4 linked regions of the Sus scrofa genome follow. The protein of the gene in region 2 interacts with the protein of the main gene of each other region in a biochemical or structural test. Links are inferred from orthologs where the notes say so. Each region holds a gene or a part of one and is shown on either strand. Other genes may lie near its edges.

Region 1 (4,221 bases), on a different chromosome or scaffold from region 2:
GCGCCTCGCATCTCCCCTCTCATCCCAGACACATCCTTCCCAAGCTCTCTCAGAGGCTCTTCCCACGGGACACAGGAATTGCGGGTGCACGCCCAGGCCCCGGAAGAGCCCTGGCCTGGTTTGCTGGGGTTCAGGGTGGGGAGGAAGAGCACACGCAGCCAGGCTCACCTGACATGCTGGTTTTCAGGGAACATTGGCCGTTCTTTCTTTTTCGCTTTCCATCTGGTGACCTGGCACTGGATGGGGGCAAAGTGGGCAGAATCAGAGAGCAGTCCTTGGGCAGCCCCCTTCTCATTCAACAGGCTGAGGTCTTCCCCCAGGCCCGACTCCCTCCAGCTCGGGTCCTCGTTCTACCTCCCACCCCCAGGTCAGCTGACAAAACTGGAAAAGGTCTGGCTATCTAGAAGCTTTGGGTGAGAGATAAGGGGCTCGGCTGGGGCACAAGCATGATCTAGGGCCCCCACCTATATACACACATGAGCACGCGCTACAGGACCTTCGGCGCCCATCGTCTCTAAGATAGCCACCTATTTAAGCTTTCAGTACATGACACACAAGCAGAAAGAATCTTCAGGACGGGCTTAAAGCGATGCAAGCTTTCGAATACACACGTACATCTGCACCGTAAGACTAGCGCATATGAAGAGCTACGCCGCCTGCCGTTTAAACCCAAGCACAGTTAAATAAGCAGCAGGCTCTACCATCTCTATCTATGCGACTTTCAGGGCTTTCTCAAATGTGTTATATGACCTCTAGGGTATGCCCACGTGTTACACAACCCTCCGGACAGGCACCTAATAATACCATGCCCCTCCCCCCGCCAGTGAACATGTCGCTTGATTTTCAGGTCACAGCCACAGTGGCCCACTAGAACCTAAACCAAGTATAATATGGGAAAAGGAGGGGACTTCCACGGCCACTCTGTCCACGGCCTCCATTTAACAGAGCAGTAAACCCAGGCCCCACTGGTGCCTGGTGACACTGTGTGCTAGAGTCAGAGCCGCGACAAGGACCCCAAGCCTCGCCAAATAAGGAGTTAGCAACCCCCCAGCCCCTGCACACATATGTCGCCAGCCTCCCCACATACGTGTTACATAACCTTGGCACACACAGGTTACATAAGCCTTCTACATGCACACACGGATTGTATAACCTCCCGCCCCCACCCTGTGTGTGGCATGTTGCAGGGCCCTACCCCCGACTCCCCAGCCTGATGCAGCTCCCAGCACACTGACACAGTGACCTTGGCCAGGGTCACAGTCACAGGGAGCTCTGTGCTCTACATCCCCTGGGGATTACCCGGTCTGGTTTCTACACCGGTTGGAGAATCACATCTCCCCCTCCTGCCTCCGGAGGGGGGTGGGTGTAGGGGACCTCCCCCAGCCCAGTTGAGCTGCGGGTCTTTAGCAATTAGCTAGACGCAAAGCCTCTGGGTGCAGTCCCAGAGACAGCCACAAGGTGGCGCGGGGACATGGGGGAGGGGAGGCTGACGGGGAGGGGCTGCAGTCCTGGGGGACAGGAACTAAGCATTCCCGCCTTTCTCTGAATTAGGAGCCGACCCTCCCAGACCCATGGAAGTGTGGGCGGGAAAGAACAGGGGCTGCAAGTGACAGCTTCACGATGACAGGCCAAATCTTTTTTCAGAGCCCCCCTGGGGTGAGGCTTGGGGAGGGGGGGATACCCCCATTGCCCTACCCAACTGCCAGCCCCATCCACTTCCTCCACCCCTCCAGGGACCCAATCTTGGGCCCCAGGGCTTTGCCTGGCCAGGCCTCCGGCCTCCTGGCTCAGGATCTGGTCTCCTAGGCAACGGCCACACTGCTCCCCAGAGCACCCCTCCCCCACCCTCTCCCTGGCCATAGGCACAGGCTGTACCCAGCTCCCAAGGCACCACGCCAACTGAGACCGAGCTCTGTGCCACTTGGAACTGATGGGAGAGGCAGAGACCCTCTGGACGCCCGAAGCGCAATGCGGATCATAGGGAACCCATCCCCAGCTGTGTGTGCAGGGCTGATGCTTCCTCCACGTGGGAGCAAATCTTCAGAGCTGGCATTCACTTCCACTTCCTGGGAGGAGCCCCATGGCATTGCCCGCCCTTGCCCATGAACAAGGAAGAGCTTGTGAGGCTCCCAATATGTTCCAAATATAAGCGTGAGTTGTGATCAACAGTTACTGGTGCATGGTGCCCTGAAATGCCATGTCACACGCACCATGGCTTCTGGACCTCACACTAGTGGTCAGACGTGAAGAGGCTGGGAGGGAGAGGAGGAAAATGGCCAGGCTGTTTGGATTCCACATGCTCAGGTGAGGGTGGCTGAGGGGAAGCTGGGGGGCATTGGAGACTCCGAGCACTGACAAGGGAGGGGCCGCATGCCTGCTGCCTGTAATTACTCTGTGCTGCACGCCCTCCCCCTTTCAAAACGGGCATCTCTCCCTCCAGGTGCCTAATTCCCAGCCACATGGGAACATGACCTCATCTCCTGGGCAAAGGTAGGCAGCAGGCTTGCCGGCCTCAGGCCCATCCCCCCAGGGGTGCTAAAAGGCCCAAGCTCAGTGCTCTCTGGCCCAGCCCAGCGACTGCTGCACGACACCTAGTTGCCGGACCCATTACCTGTTCTCCTCTGGGTCTGACCCACACTCCACCTTGCTTGGCTTCTGTTCCATTCACTTCAATTCCATCCAGGATGCCCTCCAGCACGCCAAGAGACTGGGGTGGGCACACTGGCCCCCCCGGCACACCCACAGGCCACCCACCCCCCGCCACCCAGGCCCTAGGGCACAGCACCCATGGTGCCCGCCTCAGCACTTGGCCTTTCACACCATGCCCTGCACCCCAAGGGGGGAGCGGGCGGTGAGAAGGGGGCCAGGGAGTGGCAGGTGGTAGGGCTGGGGGGCAAGCTGAGTCTGTGGGGGGGGTCCTGGGCTGGGGGAGTAGCTTCGGAATCTTGTCCTGTCCGGAGGTCCCTGCAGAGAGAGGAGAGAGGCAGGGATAAGGCGGCGCCGTGGTGGGAGGAGGTGAATAGGATTCCTTCGGCGCCAACATTTTGGGCTCTTGGGGCTTATCACGAGATGGTGGTAGGCATGGAGGGAGGGCAGGCATCGGGAGAGGACCGGGAAGCCCTTCGGCTCGACAGACAGCAGGCAAGGCTGGAGATTCACATCCCGGTCCCCAGACATGGAAAGGGATGGAGGGAAAGAATGAGGTAATCCACGTAGCACGTCTCAAGCCTCACAGTCAAGCAAGGGCCTGGCCCCTTCATACGCGTCTATTACACATCAGCCCTTGTTACCACCCCTCAGCCAAGGTGTCGTTAGTATCACAGGGAAAGAAGTGACCAGAGATGGAGTTCCCTCCGTGGCTCAGCAGTTAACGATCCCGGCTGGGATCCATGAGGAGGCGGGTTCGATCCCTGGCCTCACTCAGTGGGTTAAGGACCCGGTGTTGCCGTGAGCTGTGGTGCAGGTCGCAGACGCGGCTCAGATCCCGTGTTGCCGTGGCTCTGGTGGAGGCCGGCAGCTGGAGCTCCGATTGGACCCCTCGCCTGGGAACCTCCATGTGCTGAGAGTGTGGCCCTTAAAAAAAAAAAGAAGAAGAAGAAGTGACCAGAGATGAGCAGCTTTCATTCAGCCCAGGCATGGGGGGGGTCCCGGTGAAGGAAGTGTGAGCGCCCACCTGAGGGCCTCAATGGAGAGGGATGCTGAAAAGAGCAGCCAGCCGACCTCCCCTGCTGCTGGCCGACTTAGGCCTCTCCAACCCCGGCCCCCCAAGGAGCTTCCCATACAAGGTCCCAAGTCACACTTCCCAGTCTGAGGACCAGACTTCCCAGTTGGTTTAGCTGAGCTGCCACCCACTGGGATGGACAGGGAGGGCGAGAGGAAACCAACAGGCATTAAGGGAATAGAGAGTATATGTCCACCCAGGTGGGCATCAGAACTTCGCAGGTGAGAAAAAGAAGCCTCGGAAAGCTTGCCCGTTCACTCAAGTTCACACAGCTTGCAAACAGCCTGCCGCCAATGCTAGCTTTGTTCTGCCAGCTGGGGTCCAGGGCACCGCCCACCTGGGCCGACCATTCCCTCCAGGTTTGCACCTCTGACCCTAGGCTACACACCTGAGGCTCGGTGACTGCCCACCCAGGCAGGTGTGGGCACGTGAGAGGGGCCAAGAGGCGCAGCTCCCCACACACAACCTCCCTCCTGTGGCTGCTTCCCCAGAGACCTTGC
Region 2 (4,147 bases):
CCGGGGCGGCGAGACCCAGAGCTGCAAGGCGAGAAGGGCTCCGGGCCGAGAGAGCAGCCGAGCAGGGCACGACCCTGGCCCGGACCCCCAGTATCCGGCCCGGCTCCGGGGCCACCAGGCGGCCGCCCCACGGCCCAGGACCCGCACGGACCCGCCAGTGAGCCCGGAGCCAACTCCCCAACTTGCGGCCCCGCTGCCCGGGCCCCCCGAGTTCCCGGGGAGATTCGAACACCGCAGGAGAGGCAGGATTTCCCCGGAAACCACCCCCACACATCGCCCGGCCGCCGAGCCCACCGTGCTGTCCGCGTCCGTTCCCGCAGCAGGCAGCCCCGGCCCGACGCCCCGACGCCCCCGCGGCCCTGCCTGCCAACGCCGCCGCCGCCGCCGCGGGCCGCGCTCCCGGGTCGTTTCCGGCGGCGCCAGCGGCCGCTCCTCTGAGCCCCCCGGCCGCGGCCGCCACTCACCCGAGGCCGCCGCGGCTCCAAGCCCCGGGCTCCGGCAAGCTCACTCCGCCTAGGCGCCCCGCCGCCCGGTCCTCCCCCGGCGCCCCGGCGAGCTCTTTCCTCCGACCAGCAGCGCTGCTGAGCGCAGCAGCAGACGCGAGGCCACTGGCTGGCGCGCGGGCGTGGGGCCGGATCGTCCCTCCGCCTCGGCCGCCTTCTCCTCCTCCTCCTCCTCCTCCGCCGCCACGGCCGCCGCCGCCTCCCGAGTTCGGGGCTCTGCTGCAATGTCTGCGAGGCTGACTTTGAGCGCCTCGCTCGCCGCCCGCCCGCAGCCGCGCTCCTCCCTCCGCCGCCGAGTCCGCCGCGGCCCAGTCCCTCCCCTCGCCGCTCCACGCCATTCAGCTCTTCAGCCAAGTTTCTTAACCCTTTTCTCCCCCTCTTTCCCATTGTGGCCGGGGCGGGAGGCAGGAGCCCGGGTCCCGGCAGCACGCGGGAGCCGAGGAGCCCCCCTCGGTTGGCTGTTTTCCTCCTAGCCCGCCCTTCGGACTGTCGGGCGGGGGCTGCGGGGACCCGCGGCTGCGGGAGGATCGCGGTGGCGGGGAGAGGTAGCTGCTCCACGCGCTCGCGCAGTCCCCCGCGGCTCCCGGCTCTGTCCAGCCGCCCCCACCGCCGAAGGCGCCGGGACAGCTCGTCCCAGGGGCCCGGGGCATCGAGCTCATTCCACAGGGCAAATGCTCGCCTTGGGGGGCACAGCCCGGGGACCCGAACGCCCGGGGTCCCCTCCTGGGTGCTGACGCCTCAGGAGCCCCCTCCTTCCATTTCACCCCAGGACACGCGTCCCCTTGGCCCCTTCTCGCCACCCCCAACTTCCACCACCTTGTAATCTGTGTGTCTTGCTTTAATCTTGGGGGACAGGGGCACTAACTGCAGGTCACTTGGACCCCACGCCCAGCACGTAGGAGGCACCCAGGGATTAAATGCGGAGTGACTCCCAGAGGAAAACTGGGAAGGAGACCTGAGGAGTGCTCCGTTCGGCTCCCCAGACGGACGGAGGACCCAGGAGCAGGGTTTTTCTTCAGCTGCTTTGTCACTGCGAAGTCTCCAGCGGAGTCCGTCAGCGAATCTACATCATCCCCGGGAAGAATCTGACCCGACCAGACAAGGCAAAAGGCACAGGGCTGCCACTTCTTCAGCAGCTCTCCCTGGTTCAAGCTCCGAATAAGAAATAACAATTACATCACGAGGCTGGGGCGGCAGCGCGGTGGAGCCTCTTGGTTTCCTGCAGCCAGATCTCGCTGAACCCGCCTCTAAATTGAGGGGGATAAGGATTGGTGAAGAGAGAAAGTGGAGGGAGGAGAGAGTCATACGAAACCGTAATTTCCCCTTTCTCCCTGTATTTGCTGTTTTAAAATCTTATCCTCAGCGCTCCCCAGACATCTAACTAGAACTATTAACACCCCCTCAACACCTCCCCAGATGTCAGGTTTCTTTTTGACTACTAGCATCTAGCATTTAGTAACTCGCCATGAAAAACAAAATTACCGGGGGAAATGAGTACCGTTGCTGAAATTGTTTTTGCTTGCTCCGAAACGCTAAAGTGCAGCTTAGCCTCCCTTTAAACTCCGAAATGGCATGCCTGTTTTAAAACACTTATTACACAAAACAAGTGAGTGGATGAGGCATTCCATTCTTCTATGTAGGAAACCTTGTGAATTCCATAGCATTTGAAAATAGAGTTGCTGGTGCACTTAAAAAAAAGAACTATCCAAGTCATAAACAGTATTCTATGCCTGTTATGTAATGGCTGTGCTGTGCATTTAAAATGTCATTTAACCTTTACAAATATGAATGAGAGTTCTGGAATACCTTCACAATCTGAAAAGTGAAAGCAATTTTTCAAATTAATTCTTAAATCCAGCCCGTAGCACAGTGCTGGGTACATGGTAGGTTTATTTTGCTCCATGGTGATACTGCATTTTAGAACAATTCTTTTACATCACTCTGGTGGTTGATTCAACTGTGCAGTCTGTCGCCCTCTTATACAGTTTAGACCTCTTATGATAGTTTGTTATTTGCATATACCACTGTTTGAAATCTGTTCAAGACAACTTGGTAAAGTCTGCTGTTCTATAGCATAACATTAACCCAGGATTGATGCAAAGCCAAGTCTTCCAATTAAGTGATGATCAGCATAATTGGAGCTTGGCTCTTTAAGGAGTCAAACTTGTTTAAAAATAAAAAAAGTCAAACTTGTTTTAACTCTTGTACAAATGTTTTCTATGTATTATAAATATTTCTGTTTTCTAAAACAGTTTGGCTTTTTGTCGAAATTCTGGGTTAATTTTATTTAAAGTGTTTATTATATAGTAGGTTATAGTGGATTTAGCAACTACGTCCAGTTCCTGTTCTTTATCAGGCTTCTTCCAAGGTGTTAAGGCTGCTCCCAGGAGGTATATAAGCCATCAGTCTCTGCCCTGAAAGACTCTGGGATACTGGGACTGAGTGATTATCTCTGCCCGTTGTAGTTTCTCTCCCCCTTCTCTAACTGACAATCTGGTGTCTTTTCTCTCTTTTGCCAGCATGCCTGCCTCCAACATTCTCCTCCTCTTCTGATTGGCAGCTGCTAGTCTGGTGAGGTCTGAGAATCCAGATAGCCTCACTTGTCACAATACAGTCTAAAGTAAAACTGAGTGGGTTCCCTGGAAGGAACTAATGTGCTCACCAAGGAGTAAAGCACATGAACCTTAGTGCATAGATTCTGTGACACATTTGGACCGCTCAACTGTTGCTCTGAAAATATTCTTTTTGCTTCTTAGCAAGAGTTTTAGATGATTGCAGTTGGTAGATAAACAACTTCCTAAGTCAGGTTATATCAAGTTTTGGTCTTGCCCTCCAACACTAGTGTTAAAAAAGTCTGCTGCAATATGTTAGGTGACTTAACAAAGCTGCTCACCTCATTATTAAGCTCTCTTCTCAACCTCACAGAACTCCAATCATTGAAATCCTGAACTCTTTTTGGTAGTGCATTAGTGTTAAGTAAATTGCACACCTTTTGCAGAATTCATTTTTACTTAATCATTCTAATTGTGTTGGGGCTATTTTGTTGTTCTTTGTTTTTTTTTTTTTTTTTTGAAAAAATCAATACCTAAGTTTCCTGGCTAAGAGAGTCATTGCAAGGATACTGGGGCATATATGTAATATAAGAATGCCTATTCAGTAATTTGTGTAGTGAAGACAACTCTCATATAACCAATCGTGATGTGAAAAAGACACCCTTGAGCTTATATACTTAAACACACAAGTAGGTTTACAAACCCTGGGGTTCCTGTGGGCTCAGAGACTTACAGTTCGGGCTCAATATGTTCATCCCCCACAAAGAAGGCATCTGGGAGAGGCGTGCTTATGATGTGCTCCCTGAGTCTGTCCTGCTAGAGCATTGTTCACACCAGTTGGTGACAGGATGTTTAACCATTCTAAGTTCAAGTACTACAGCCCCAGGGGCCATATCCCTCTCGTTCACATTTGGGTACCTCCATCACTTATCCCTGGCACACTGTGTGTGCCAGCGGTAGCCATCCGGTAGATATTGGACAAGATACTGTCATAGCCACAGGACAGAGTCTTTAATTCTACTTGGGGTTCAGGTGTGGGGTAAGGCAATTCAGGGAAAGTTTTACAGAGAACAGAGTGCTTCAGCTGGCCAT
Region 3 (4,059 bases), on a different chromosome or scaffold from region 2:
TGATAAGTACTGAAGAAAATTAAAGTTTCCTAAAAGAGTCCAATGAATTCTTTTCTTTTTTACCAAAAGTTATTCAAACAGCAAAACTGAGAGGGGAAAAAATATGAAGTAACATCTCTCCATTTGAAATAACTTATTTTATAGATCCTTCCCCTCTTTCTTGGGTAATAAGAGGCGGAATTCAAAGAAAGAAAAGAAAAGAAAAGAAAAGAAAGGAAGGATGGATGTTATGGGAAATAAACTACAAAGGAGAATGATCATTCTAAAACTGAATTTCCACACAGAATCCAATGTGGGTGAGTTGAAAGTTCCATATCACTTTTTTATTATTCTAAAAATATCTGAATATCATCGAATGCAGAAAGTTTAAGATGGGCATGTTATAGTGATATTATTTGCCACCAGGATGCTGAACAATTTTGAATAAAATGTGATTCCCCTCTTTATTTGACCATGTTCACTTTGTAATTATTAGCAGGGCAGTAAATAATCCACTGAGAAGCAGTCTCATTAGTGTCCATTGAAATTCAGTGGCATTAATTTGCAAGAAAAGAACTGAAAATTAAATGGAAAAGAAAACTGTTTCTGGAGTCTACCATAAGGTTATGGAATTCACGTCCTATCAGTGCCTTCCTTCACATCAAGGAGTTTAAAATGTTGTGTGAATTAGATTTAATTGTCATATTTGATTCTAACACTTAAAAAAAGCGGGCAGAATAAATTCTTTTTCTCTTTCCATTTTAACCCTGCAGAAAACAAGTTAAAATGATTCGATAGAGGCCAACTTTTTAAAGTTTTGTTCATTGTTTGTGTTTTAAGTAATAACTCAGGATGGACCTGCTTGGCTGTGTGACATTCTAAGGTCCTCTGAGGGGGCTGAAGGATGTGGCAGATGTTCAGATACCCCCAGCGGCTGCCTCCAGAATTCTCTAGGGCCACGATGCACCTTCCTCCCGTTTCTTCTGCTATAAATATCTCTGGAAATAGATGCTGAATAGAAAAACGGCCCACAGCTTGCAATACAGAAGGGTCTGGGTGAGGGTGGAGGGCACGTCCACACACCAGCAGTGTCCAGCCAGGCAGTGCCTAACCCAGCATCCAGCCACCAGGGTGCTGGGAGGCCTCCCAACCCCACCCAGGCTATCCCTGTCCAGCAGCACCTAGGGTGCAGGTACCCACCAGGACCCCCTGCCTAAACCCTCTGCAAAGTCCATCAGGAAGAGAAGGGAGAAACTGTCAAAGGGAAAATGGGAGGAAGAGGAGCAAAGGAAAGTATAGGGTCTACTAGGGGGAAAAAAATAGGACAAAAAACACTTGCCTCTTAAGTCACAAAAGTGTTCCTGTCTATCCTGAACGACTAACTATCTGTTGCTTCTCCTGAGAATGAAAGGCACAGAACTGGGCTGAACCCATACACACCACTCCCAGGGCATTCTCAGCCCCGCAGGCCAGAAATGAAACTTAGCTGGCAGGGAAGTATTTCAAAACACTCGTGCTTCGATGTGGCATGTTTTTAACTCACAGGACAGTTATAAATCTCCGGCTGTCAGAAGTCTTCTGCCAGCAAGCTGCTCTGACACGGACTCCGCCAGATAACTCAGAAATCAGAAACTCCTTGAGACCCATTCAACCCTTGCTCATCTGAGCAGCGCTCGGTCAGTCCTACAGCCTCCCTCGGAGGTGGGACAGGGAGGACAAGCAAAGGGCTGCTAGGAACCGCTTCCCAAGGAAATGAGCACCCCCTCATCACCATCACCAGCTCACCAGCGGCACAGCGTGCACATAGCCAATCCGAAATTCTAGGTGAAAGGAAATTTTGCAAGCACGTTAAAACAAATTTGTAAAATAATAAGACTATGTAAAAAAGAAAACTCTGAGCTCCGCCTGCCCCAACACCTACAGCCAAAGCGGGACCTTTTCTAGGGACTCAAAGCACCTTGTGCTTATTTGGTCTGGGGCGTTTCTCCCCACAAATAACCTCTGCTTTGCACGGTTTTCTAATACTGGTTTAGTTGGAAAGCACACGGGGTTTCGGACCTGCTTCTCACGCAGACAGTAGGCGGGGTGGAGAGTAGAAATTTTTTTTTTTTTTTTTTTTTTTTTTAAGCTGCCAGGCCGGAGAACTTGACTCTCGAACGCGAGATCCACCCGTGACCCTGGGCCGGGTCGCGCCCTAGCCCTCGGGTCGCGCGTCCGCGGCGCCGGCGGCGGCCGGGCTGCCGGGTGCCCAGCCCCGCGGCCTGCGGGCCCCGCGAGCTCCCGGCGGCGCGGCCCCTCGCCCCCCGCTCCCTCCCGCCGCCGGGTGCGCGGCGGCCACCCCGACGTGGCGCGGCGGGCGGCGCGGGTACCTGTAGAAGGCGGGAGGGCCGGCCTCGCGCACCGCATAGCCGCTCGGCTCATTCTCCAGGTAATAGGGCACCTGTTGGCCGTGGGGGTGCAGGAAGGGCGAGAGCTGCGGCGGCGGGTGCAGCAGCACCAGCGGGCTCGGAGACACGCTGTTGAGCGGCTGGAAGCCCCCCAAGCCGTTGGCGCCGAACGCCGCCGCCTCCGACCCCGGGCCGTAGGCGAGGCCCGACTGGCCGTAGACGGGCGCGGAGGCGGCGGCCGCGGCGTTGAAGTCGTACGCGGCGCCCTCGGGGTAGTTATACACGGCGGGCTTGCTGCTGTCCACGTACACCTCGCCCAGGGGCCGCTCCAGGGGGATCTTGAGCTGCGGGCGGTTCAGGGGCTCCAGCTCGTTGGCTTGGATCTGGTGCAGCAGGGCCATGCCGGACGCTTTGGTGTGTAGGGTCATGGTCATGGTCAGTGGCCGCGGGCAAGGCGCAAACCGTTTCCCCCCGCGGCGGAGGGCTCAGCAGCCGGCCGGCCACCTGGAAGAAGAGCACAGCCCGCGGTTAGAGGCGGCGCGGCGCATGTCCCGCCGCGACGCGAGCTCTGGCCCTGCCCCGGGAGCCGGCCCGTCCCGGGGAGCGGGGCGGCCGGACGCGAGCAAGTGCAGCCCGGCGCGAGCGCGCTCCGCCAACTCCCGGGCCCGGGTCTCCAACTTTAAGTACCGGTCTCCCGAGCTCATATGCATTACAAAGGTGCTGGAAGCCGGCCAGGGGGCTGTTGCCTTGCCCTGACGTTGGCTTAAACATCACTCCAGGCGCAACTCGTTCTGGAGCGATCCCAAAGAGCAGCTTCCCTGAACTTTACTTTACTTGTCGCTGCTGGATAGAGGCTGCATTTCACTGCAGGAGGGCGGAGGCGCAGAGGGATCTCCTAAAGGTGGTCCGGAGATGACGGGGTTTAAAACAAACTCGGAAGACTAATCCAGGGGCCGGCTCTCTCGAACGTGCTACCTTATGTGCCCCGTGCCAGGCTCCAATCTATCTCTGTTTGTCTCTCTCTCTGTTGGATTCACGCTCCTCGTTGGCTGGAAATACGGAGTGTGTACAGAGAATGACCCTGGGGAGGACCACTCTGTAACCGAGATATGGCAGATAGAATGGGGTGTGCGGGTGCATAGGCAGACGGCTATATTTAGCAGCTCGGGGGACAGATAAGAGGCATCTGGGGGAAAGGGGGCGGAGACTCAAGGTGTACTATAGAAAGAGCTGCGTTTTGCAGTCAGGGGAGTGCTGCCCAGCTCAGTTCTCCTCATCTGCAAAATTCTCCCAAAGTCATCCCCTCCAGCCAAGACTATCTGAGATTCCCCCAGCCCGACTTGTCTGTTTGTCTTTGGCCGCAGTACTGTACTTGCTCCCATCAGGAATTCTAATGTGAATGACGATTTACAGAAACCTCCCGTTAGGCGGACATGGGTATTCATGCCTTCCACAGATTATGCAACCAAAACTTCAGAAAACTGAATATGAAATGTGACCTTTCCAGAAAAAAAGCATAACCTCGGCTCATTAACCAAATCTACACTGTTGGTCTCACCAAACACATTTTGAAATGCAATGATACATGTCTGTTCTTTTATCCTACAATTGGACCTTCTTGGTTCACTTGGACTAGGATAAGCAGAATCAAATATTCAGATTGGAAAAGAAATAGTAAAAAGTTCTGAACTGA
Region 4 (4,171 bases), on a different chromosome or scaffold from region 2:
GCCCTGCCGCGCCGCCGCCGGCGATGAGCCGCACCCGGGCGCAGCGCCGCCCGCCCGCGATGACGGCCGCTCGGGCCGGGGGCGGGGAGGCGGGGGCTCGGGCCTGGCGGCGCGGGGCCTCGGCGCTCCCCCACCCCGCCTCCCCGCCCCCGCCGCCTCCAGGGCCGCTCGGAGATGCACCTGGGACCCTGGCCCCTCCGCCGCCAGTGTGTGCTGCGGGAACCCGCCGCGCCGGGGCCAGGGGCCGGCCCCTCTATCTGGGCGCGTGCGGTATCCCGGGGCTGAGGCCCGGCCCGCACCCTCCGCCGCCACCGAGCCGGGTTCGCGCCGTTACCCTCACCCTCTCGGCCCCTCATCCCCAGCCCGGCTCCCGGAGCCCGGGCGCCCCGGAATCCGAGCACCCCGGAATCCGAGCAGGTTCTGGGCGTCTGGGAGCCTCGGGCCACCCGCCTGCGGTGAAAGGAGGCGAGTCCCTGTTTGCAAATCCAGCTTAGTTGTGGCCGGGACCACGCTCGGGCGCTGGTCGGTTTGCAGCGTGGAAGTAGGTAGAGCAAGCGTGGGTGGCCGTGGCCAAGGCACGGGTTCAAGGCTAGAAAGTGGGTTCTCGCCTGGTCCAGGCACATTTCCTCATTGGAAACTGAAGCAAATTTCCTCGTCCTCAGTGTCCTCATCCGTAAAGTGGGATGGATGACTGGACTTCTTTAAAGGTGGTCGGATGAACCGAAGTGGAGTTGAAAGAGCACATGCCTAGCACGGCGGAACGATCGAGAGCGTCCAATTATTTGGGAGGGCTGGGGCAAACTCTTTCTCCTCCTTGAGCTTCAGTTTGCTTGGCTGGAAGTGGGAGTAGTGGTAATCCCACCCTGCGGGTTTTCTGAGGTTTGGTGAGGACCCGAAGCCACCAAGGGCGCGGGAGCTGGGAAAACAGAGCCCAGGGGCAGGAGAAAGCCCTCTCTCCTGTTCTACGCTCTTACCCGGAGCTGGAGGCAGGAAAGTGAGTGCTCTGCAGCCCCCCGGGGGAAAAGGGGTTCCCGGGGTCAAGCCGGGAGGAGCTGAACCATTGCTCTAGGGTGGGGGAGGTCGCCTGCTCGGATCCTGCTCCTGCCCCGTTGGGCATCTATGGTCCTAGAGAGTGCTGAGAACAGCGAAGCCAAAAAGCCATCTACAAGCCGGGAAATATCACAATTTTGTATTCGCAACGACGCAGCCGACGGAGGGGCCCAGATCTGAAGGCTGGGACCCTGGCTGCGGCTGGCTTCGTCTGGGCCCCTGCATCGCCCCCACCCCAGCCCACCCCCACTCCCTCCCCCTTGGGCCTCTAGCTTTGCTAGGAGCTGGTGCCTTGGTCCTGCGATCTGAGGCCCCACGACCCGGCACAGACCAACTCTCATCTCCCTCACGCGGCGGAATGGAGGGCAGAATCTGCGGCCGACTCTCGATGCCAGCTCTGGCAGATCACTTCGTTTCTCTGAGCCTCGGTTTCTCCATATACAAAATGGAAAAGATCAGCCCCTACAGAAGCGTTCCAGTGGGAGTTTCCTTGCGAGTCCAGGGACCAGTCTTGGTGAGGAGGGAGGAAAGAGAGTTAGTTGCACGACCCCTCCCCATCCCCCACCAAGCCCCTGAGGCACAAGAGTAACTGAGCTGGGGGTGGGGGCTACTGCCTCTGAACCCCTCAGGGAGGGCCCTCAGAAAGTAGAAAAGAGGAGCAGCACCACCTGGCAGCAGAGTGAAGGGAAGCAGGGGCCTGGGCTGGGGGATCCCCAATCAGCTTCTCTAGGAAGGAGCCCACTGGGGTCTCCTGGACATTGGTGAGGCAGACCCAGGCAGTGGAAGCCCAAGCCTGGGCTGGGGGCCTAGGTGGGGTGGGGACTGGGCTCTGAGCCAGTTCTCCCCTTGTCTCTCCACCTAGATCCCCTCTGCCAGAGGTTCCACCGTCACAGTTTGGGAGCTCGTGGGTTGATCCTCCAGGCTTCAAGGCACCAGCCCCTAGCCCCAGGTTCCAGCTCAACATGTGGGGGATTCACAGCCCCTCACCCACCTACCCAGGGAAGCAAACACAGTCCCAGCCCAGACACAGGACCTGGACTGACAGATGGATACTGGAGACAGACGCGTGAATCCACACAGAGACTCAGAGACATCAACAGAGACAGCACAGACCTGCAGGCAGGGAGACCCAGGGACCCACAGACAGACCCAGGGACCACGGACACACTCACAGACGAAGAGGCTTGAGTCAACACAGCCCTGTGAACTCCAGGCCACCCATAGACAGCAGGACACCCACAGACCCCCGTGGGGCCTGTCCTCATAGGCCTAGCTCCTCCCATCAGCCACCCAGGAGAGAAGAGGGGCAAGCATGGAGGGAAGGCAGGTCTGGGGAGATCTTTGGCCCCTTCCCTGCCCAGAGCAGCGGGCACCAGTCACTCCGCAGAGCGGGCAGTGGCCGGCCCAGGCCGCAGGGAGGCACTGAGGAGGGAGGCTGGCCATTAGAGGCCTGGGCCAAGGCCCTCACTTACGGAGCGGAAGGCGAGCTCTCACGCTGGATGGTGGTGGACAGTGGGCACCGGGGGCTCCAAGGGGAAGCTCCAGCAGCCCAGGTGGGGCAGTGGCGACCGTGGGCACACAAGAACTCCTTCACGCCACAGCGGGCGGCGGGCGGACAGTAGGCTGGCCCTGTCCGTCCGTCCTCCTCCTCCTCCTCCCCGCCCTGGGTGGGGGGGCCACCGGAGGCCCAATTGGTCTCTGCCCCCACGTGACTCTGCAGGCCTCTCTCCTTCTTTGTTGGTGTTTCTCTTCATTTGGGTCTATTTTTTTTTTCTTCCCCTAAAAGAAAAAAAAAAAAATACCCCTATCTATCTCGGGGCCGCGGGTGGGGGCGGAGGCCAAGGCACTCTGGAGGCCTTGGCCAGCTGGCTGTTCCAGGCCGCTGTGGGAGCCCAGAGGCAGGGACCCCACGTAGGCGGGTAGCCAGCCCCGCTTGTTAGCGACTGGGTGGGAGTGGGGCCTGATTTATGGGCAGCTCCCCCACCCGGCCTGCAGCCCGGGCCTCTCTCCCCTTGAAAGGCTACCTCCCTGGGGCCTGGCCCAGCGGGGGTCCAGCCTGGCCCAGACATGAGAGTGGAGTCGGGTCGGGCTGGCGTGGAGGCAGAGGCATGGATGACTTGACCAGGTGGCCCTGCTGCTTTGGCCTGGTCTTTTTACTCTTCCAGAAGGTGAGGAACGGAAGAGGGGGACAGAAGACAAGCAGGTGAGCTGAATGAATGCCTCCCGTGTGCCCTTTCCACGTTGGCTTCTCTGAATGTCTCCATCCACTGCAGGCTGCTGCTGTTTCTGGTCAATGGCTGGGAGGGGTGAGGCTGGGCTGAGACCCGCCTCTGGGGCCAGGTGGTTGGTTACAGTGGCCCCAGGGTGGTGGGGCGAATGGGTAGCTAGAGCAGAATAGGTGGGGCAGGGCAGAGGGAAGGGGGTTTTGTCTAGAAGGCCGGGCCTCCCCACGCAGCTAAGGGTGTCCCTGTCCCATCTCCAGGCCCAGACAGGTGCAGGTCCCACAGGGCCCAAATGCTCTGCTCTGCACCCTTCCCCTGGTGGCTCACTCTTCTATGCATTCTTTCATTCATCTCACATTCACTGAGGGCACACTAGGTGCCAGGCACTGGTCCAGGCACTGGAGAAAAGGGAAGAAAAGGAAAGACATCTCTGTTCTTGGAGGATTTACTTCCCAGCCTTTGGTTCTAGGGGGTGGAAAGGGAACAGGGACACCACGTGGAACCCACGCACAACCCCCTTCATTCGCGGAAACAGGCGAATCACATAGAAAGAACACCTCCTTTATATGGCAGGGATGAGAGGGACTTTTGTAAAACTAAAGCCAACTACATCTAAAACCTAGTATGTCGGGAGTTCCCGTCATGGCTCAGTGGAAACAAACCCACCTAGTATCCCTGAGGATGTGGGTTCTATCCCTGGCCCTTCTCAGTGGGTTAAGGATCCAGCATTGCTGTGAGCTGTGGTGTAGGTCACAGATGCGGCTGAGATCCTGCGTTTCTGTGGCTGTGGTGAAGGCCAGCAGCGACAGCTCTGATCAGACCCCTAGTCTGGGAACTTTCACATACCTCACCTGCAGTCCCTAAAAACAAACAAACGAACAAACAAAAAATGTGCCTTC

The links.
Region 1: the proteins of NRIP1 (region 2) and THRA form a complex in vitro, tested with the Homo sapiens proteins (4 studies listed by BioGRID). The link is inferred for Sus scrofa from reciprocal best matches to the Homo sapiens genes NRIP1 and THRA.
Region 3: the proteins of NRIP1 (region 2) and ESR1 form a complex in vitro, tested with the Homo sapiens proteins (4 studies listed by BioGRID, with this or other methods). The link is inferred for Sus scrofa from reciprocal best matches to the Homo sapiens genes NRIP1 and ESR1.
Region 4: the proteins of NRIP1 (region 2) and NR5A1 form a complex in vitro, tested with the Homo sapiens proteins (2 studies listed by BioGRID). The link is inferred for Sus scrofa from reciprocal best matches to the Homo sapiens genes NRIP1 and NR5A1.

The regions. Positions count from the first base shown.
Region 1 is NC_010454.4:22,282,361-22,286,581, forward strand, and holds the start of THRA (thyroid hormone receptor alpha), read right to left. Parts: upstream 2,801-4,221; 5' UTR 2,665-2,800; coding exon 2,612-2,664; intron 237-2,611; coding exon 169-236; intron 1-168.
Region 2 is NC_010455.5:179,913,426-179,917,572, forward strand, and holds the start of NRIP1 (nuclear receptor-interacting protein 1), read right to left. Parts: upstream 2,802-4,147; 5' UTR 1,459-2,801; intron 794-1,458; exon of another isoform or gene 465-793; intron 1-464. UniProt on the Homo sapiens protein: Modulates transcriptional activation by steroid receptors such as NR3C1, NR3C2 and ESR1. Also modulates transcriptional repression by nuclear hormone receptors.
Region 3 is NC_010443.5:14,488,366-14,492,424, forward strand, and holds the start of ESR1 (estrogen receptor), read right to left. Parts: upstream 2,801-4,059; coding exon 2,349-2,800; intron 1-2,348.
Region 4 is NC_010443.5:265,308,748-265,312,918, forward strand, and holds the start of NR5A1 (steroidogenic factor 1), read right to left. Parts: upstream 2,801-4,171; 5' UTR 2,523-2,800; intron 1-2,522. UniProt on the Homo sapiens protein: Transcriptional activator. Essential for sexual differentiation and formation of the primary steroidogenic tissues. Binds to the Ad4 site found in the promoter region of steroidogenic P450 genes such as CYP11A, CYP11B and CYP21B.